Drosophila melanogaster: one gene and its partner. The protein of the gene in region 1 interacts with the protein of each later gene in a pairwise test. Each region holds a gene or a part of one and is shown in the gene's direction. Other genes may lie near its edges.

What was found.
Region 2: the proteins of Tom (region 1) and CG12784 interact in a two-hybrid assay, tested with the Drosophila melanogaster proteins (one large-scale study listed by BioGRID).

The regions. Positions count from the first base shown.
Region 1 is NT_037436.4:14,967,571-14,971,054, forward strand, and holds Tom (twin of m4), read left to right. Parts: upstream 1-1,773; 5' UTR 1,774-1,856; coding exon 1,857-2,333; 3' UTR 2,334-2,736; downstream 2,737-3,484.
Region 2 is NT_033777.3:15,761,307-15,764,243, forward strand, and holds CG12784 (uncharacterized protein), read left to right. Parts: upstream 1-1,808; 5' UTR 1,809-1,862; coding exon 1,863-2,168; 3' UTR 2,169-2,245; downstream 2,246-2,937.

The DNA.
Region 1 (3,484 bases):
ACAGGTTTCCATTGCAAAAGGGAGAACCTTAAAACAAAGAAGCTCTGCGTAATGCGGGGCACAGCAATCAGACGGGGGCCAATTAGGGACCCTCTTAATGACCGTAAGGATAGCCAAAGGAACGAAACGACCGTTACAAGAAACTCGAGTCCTCGGAGCCGTTACAAAATTATGAAAGTAACCTTCGGGGGCAAGGGAAAAGGGCCCATAACAATTAGGAAGGCGACTCATAAACGAAGTGCCGACGAAATTCCACTAAAATGCGTAAACCGAGCCAAAAACCAAAACTCTGAAGATCCCTATCTGTACGTGCTTCTCCCGCGTCGAAAATTTTTCACGCATCAACAGAGCAGGTCCCTCGAACCGGGAAAGAACAACAATGACAAACAAATGCGATCGGAAGGAGCTGAAAAGGACCTGCCGAGATTTCCCGAAATGCGGCATTAATGCATATTGACTAACCTTGAGAGTCCGATCCCATCCCATTCCATCGCAATGCCAAGTACCCGAAAAATACGTTACTTTGCTCAACTACCTACAGGTTGGGAAAATAGGAAAAGGACGATCGGACGGAAGGACTTAGGGGCACTTTCTGGGCTGTCTCAATGAAATAACGGACAAGTCCCTTGTCCGTTTGGGTATTTCCAGCGGCGAGATTGTATCTCCGAGATATGCCAATCCATTGTTTGTCCATATCCTCCGTCTTTTTTCGGATAGTGTGTCGAATTTTAAAATCTCTCTTCCCTCACACTCTGTTATGGAATTTTTTCAACAAGTTTCGACTTGTCCGCTCGGTACTCTCCTGGAATTTTACGTTTGGGATTTAGGGACTTCTACTTTTCTTGCGACAGAGTCGAGCAGGTAAAGAGAGGTTGTGAGGCATGGTACTCTCAGAGGGGGCGAAAGATCGAGAACCGACCGAGATCTATGCGACTGTCAAAAAATCCGTTAAAAACCTGCAGTGAATGAGCAACTCGAGTGGGTAATACCCAGCATTTGAATCACGTGGGAAACATATGAAATTTTAAAGTAAATGACTTAGTATGGTATGCTATGTTCCAAAAAATAAATACCATTAGTAAAATACTAAATAATTGTTAAATATACAACGATCTCTTTGTATTTATTGTAATTTTACCGATGTACTTCCTACATACCTTAATTTAGCAGTGTGCTGTTAAGGAAAACTTTTTTTGTAAGGCTGTGCCGATCTTAATTATTTAATTTTAAATAGTTTTTAATTTAGTTGTATACCAAATATTTTAGGATACATTTTATTCTTGCTAGTCTTTTAAGTTTAATTTTAATAGAGTCCTTAAATATTGATATTTTTCATCAAGTTTATGATCTTATTACTATAGTTATTATAAATTCAATGAATTCAATTCAATTAAATTCAACCTTATATGGCCCCTTTCAATATTACTATTATAAATAATTTTTTTTAGAAAAAATACACTTAAAAGATATACACACAATAAAAACATATTAACCTTATTTTTCGTAAAATCTATTTTTTATGCACAGACTCAAAAATTCATCATACCCTGCTTTCTCAAGGGTAAGGACATGCTCCTGATTCCGAGACCGCTTTCTCTTGGCTCTCTTTTGTCTCCCGCTCTCACTGTTTGTGCAACCACCTGCAGGCAGTCTGCCTTCCCATTGGCTGGGTCCATCGATCGAGAGAACCGCCGCTCTGTGCGAGAATTCTCCCCCGCCGAGAGAAACCAAAGAGAGCAAATCGTATATAAGGAGTCGGTCGTGCAGCAGGAAAACCAGAATACTACCAACTCTCAACCGAGTGCAACCAACTAAGATCCCAAGTTTTATTATAAATCTCAACAATCCTCAACACAATGTCGTTCATCACACGGGAATACAAGTTTGAGAGCAGCAAGGTGATGGAGCCGAAATCAGATCAGCACACGATGGCCATGCGGAGTCTGAGGAAACTGGTCAAACCCCTTCTGCGACTGGTGAAGAAGAAGCAGCTACTCCGGAAGACTCTGGCCGAGATCCAGAACCAAAATGCAGTCAACGCCTCGCTGGAGGACATGCGCAAAGATCCGGCGGCCAGTTGCGATAACATGGCCAACGAGGAGCTGGAGCAGCGACTGTACACCGATCTCCGCCAGTGCCCCACCAACGTGGCCATGATCGTGCAGCAGGGTCAGCAACAGAGCATCGTGCCCGTCCATCCGGAGCAGACCTTCATCCCGGTCCACTTCGCCCGCACCACCAGCGGCACCTTCTTCTGGACCTCAGCCGAGGGAGCTCGCCAGCACCACGAACAGCAGTTGCGCCAGCAGTTCGACCGTTGGGTTCAGGCCTAAACATCGCCAGGATGCACAGTTCCACTTCTCGATGCACCGGGAAAAACTCCAATTGGCAGCTTTAAGTGCAAGTGTCTCCGTCCATTGGTCGTCGGATGGATGCGGGTTCAGCTTCGCATGTTCGTAATCTCAGGGTGATATTAGGCATAGATTGGATTCTTTGGGCTCGCGTCCCAAGGGAAACACAACTCTAATTGATATTCAATTATCACAATCAAGCGTTACTATCGTTAACTCATTGTGATTTATCGTGTCTTATTAGCCTTAAGTTAGTCTTAGCCGAATCATTGTCTTCCATGTTTGTTTGTTAGGGTCTTCGTATAAGAATTAGGCTAAGAATCATTGTCTTCCATGTAAAACTTTAGCTATAAACACTAATATCATATAAGAAATAAATAAATCGAAAAAAGGAAATTCTAATGTCTCTTTATTCTGAAAACTGATATGAAATAATATGAATAAGGTTGGAAAAGAAAAATCCCAAATTGAATGACCATTGTAAGTATAGTTAAATTCGGCTACTCTGTACAATTCTGATTTGAAGAATGGATTTTAAATTGGACTCGCTATGCTGGTGAACACATTCCAATTAGTGACTGCATTCATTCCTGCTTGGAGACCATTTGAATCCAAAAATGCTGCTGGTAGGCAGTTGGAAATACTTCCGTAAGAACAATAAAGAATTTTATTTACATTTATATTTAGCCTGACCACAGGCTAATATAATATTCACCAAATATTATTTTTTGTCTTTCATACAATTTCTGCATCTGTTATCGTTAAAATATGATTTTTGTTTCAAATATACCTAATATATACCTTTGTAGTATATATGTATTTATTTATTTATTCTATTTATATTTCGAAAATATTGGTATAGTAAATATCATATCTTTTCATATCATATTATGGTTCACACGCTTCACACGCACCCCAACCACCTAGCGCGAGGTCTAATCCAGCTCAGCAGCCGTTCCCGTCTCCGGCGAAAGGACCTACCAACCCAGCGAATAAATTATTAGGGCCGTTTAAACATAGAACAGTTGGAAAAATAATACAACTGTTCAAAAAATACTTGTTATAGTTAAGATTTTTAAACTTATTGTTAGTTCTTATACAAGAAGATTCAATAAATAAAAGCAAAGTAAAAT
Region 2 (2,937 bases), on another chromosome or scaffold:
ACGACAAAAGGCAACGCACAATTTGGCAAGTTTGCGCATTTGTGCTGGCATTAATTTCGCATTGGCAGTGTCAATAAGCCAACAATCAATGCACTCGACGGCATTTTCACGTACCGCATATTGTTGGCCGGCGGCGAAAAAGCAAATTAAATTTCCCTGAAAGGTCTCAGCTGAGATAAAAAACTGAAAATGCAATTTGCGTTTGGCGCGGGTGGCGCTGATGGTGTGTGCCACCAAATCGTTGCATCAGCTGCACTTGGCTGCAGTTTTATTGGCCTCCGCCATCCGTATTCTGGTTACGTTGACATGTCTTCTCGCCCAATTCCCGAAACCAAGCCCCCGCGGATCCCCCGTGTGTTTCTGTGGTAAGTTCTGTTTGAGATTGCACCTGCATGGATATCCGTTGCAGGTCTGACTGGACTGAATCCTCCTCCCCCACCCGGCGCATTTTCCATTCCCCTTTGCCCCATCGTGGTCATCATCGGCGGCGTTCGTTGCATATTCATACGCCCCATTGTTGTTGGCATGCAGTTGATGCGGGCGAGCTGATTTTTATGTGGCTGACCAGGCAGCAGGTTTGGTCCGTTTGGACATTTTCTGTTTGGTTTTTATGGTCTCAGCGAGCGGAACAAAAAAGGGAATTCAAGCCGGTCAATTAGGGTGGGACAAGCTAACCGATTAGTTAATGCTCTTCATCACCAGGTAAAAACATCAAATTATAAATTGAGTGATTATGTTTTATTTCACAGAAGATGCAATCTATGAATCTATTTTAATGAGTTGTGTTGCCTAACTCAATCCATTCTCTTTAATTAATATAAATTTTAAAATAATTATGCTAAATGCTTAATAGTATAAGAATAAGTTTTTAAAGTGGAAACAAGTTAACAAAATGCAGAAACACCTGGCAAAATCAATCCTTCCTGCGTTGAAAAGGGCATTCGTATAACTCTCGCTCCGTTAGCGAGATATCATGGCGTGTCTGGATGGGATGATGGTTGGTTGGATGGATGGGATGGCTTGATGGTTGGGTGGATGATGTGGGGGGCCAAAGGAGCGCCGGCGTGTGTCACGTTTAAAATATGCGCATTTTTGCAAATGACATTTCAGTCGCACCGCACTATCACTAATTGATATCATATGATGGAATTCATGCACAGACACCAACTGACCGGCGATGGCAGGCGGCAAAGGACTTGCAGGACCTCCCGGTCCTGCCGATCGGTAATCGGTGCTCGGTGCTTGGTGCTCGGTGCTTTCATGATTGTTGGAATGGCGGTTGCTGGTGGCGGCGAAATTGTCGGGTTCATTTTTGCCCTTTATTGTTGCTGTTGTTGGTCGATTGCCGTTTCGCTTTTTGCGGTTTGTCGTCGCGTCAGGACCGCCATATGCCCCCGTGTCCATCGTCCTGTGTCCATTGTCCTGCGTCTGTTGCCTGCTGTCTGAGGTTGGCCGCTCTGCGGTGCCGAGACTGCGGCCCGATCATTCATTTGTCAAGTTGTCAGGACACGGTTCGGCAGTCGGCGAGATATCCTGTCGCTGACATCAAGAATGCCATTTAGATTTCACAGCTGCCGATGTGGCTATAAGTTCGTGGTTGTACCTCCAACGTCACCCCTACCAAATATCTTCCCAATGATTAAGTTTTTGCGGACAGAAGACAACCATTTATATTTGTTCATTCGAACTCAAGTCTTAAACAAATCCAACCCATTAAATACTATACTTTCAATTGAAAATTTGAATATTGTGGAAATATATTAGGTCCCACCAGTTTTCAGAAAGCCTTCAAAGAAAAGTTCATTCTAGTTCGAAAAAAATTCAAAGTTAGACGTCAAGATAAAATCAACACACACGAAGAAATGGATTTCGGTGAAAACGTGTTTGACCGTTTGGATGCGTGGACTAAAAGTGAAGTGAAGCCCGGTGAAATGGGACGCATCTTGGCCGTTCTTCTGACCCTGATAGTGATCAGCTTTGCCATTGTCGTTGTGGCTCGCATCCTGGTATCTCTGGCCATACCAACATTGGTTATTGTGGCACTTTTGATGGCATACCGTTTCGTCACTCTTTCGGAAATGAAAGATGGTCTCATGGCTGTGCCCGATATTCTAACATCGTGTACGAACTTTATATCTGGCCTTTTTTGCCAGTTGAAGGCAAAGTAAAATTCTTGTAAATTGTTTATATATTATATATATATTGGATACTCTTCTGCTATTCATAAAGCGTCGCTTTAATATACAAATTTTTAAAACAAAAAGTTATAAACAAAGTTTGGTTCTTTTACAGGAATACAATTGTCTACAGTCTATACAGAATCCTTTGACACAGCTTCACCATTACTAGAAGTTATTTCGAATTGTCAGCCATTCTTATGTGGCCTCTCGAATAACCCAACATCATTTTAGTCCTTCACACTGGCCCATTATTTATTTATAGCCTCAACGTTGTTCACATATCGATAACCGAGTTTGCCATCAACATTCCTGTCAGGACATTTAAAGGCCTAACAACCGGACAATGAGTGGGACAGAGAGACAGCTACGGCACAGAAGTTGCAGCCCAGACACAGGATCCATGTTTATGTCCTGGCCGGTCAACAAAAATGCCAAACTGCAGTGCGACCCATGAAAATCCCCCTTCCCCGACACTCACACCCTCATTTAATAGTTTGCTTGCCATTTTTGCCCAGTGTGTATGTGAGTGTGTGTGTTGGCCAAGTTTTGTCTCGTTCAACGTTTCACCATTGGCCGTGACGCTCGTTTCGACGGCGCGATTGCGAACTTTGTTGCTATTTTACCAACTAGCCCCACCAACATCCCCTTGGATGCGGGTCCATCTATGGAAACGTGCGTTGTCTGCTACCTGACGGTTGACTTTCTTTCTCTAATGAAATGCGGTTACAAATGCAATTTTACATTTTTCACAAAAAAG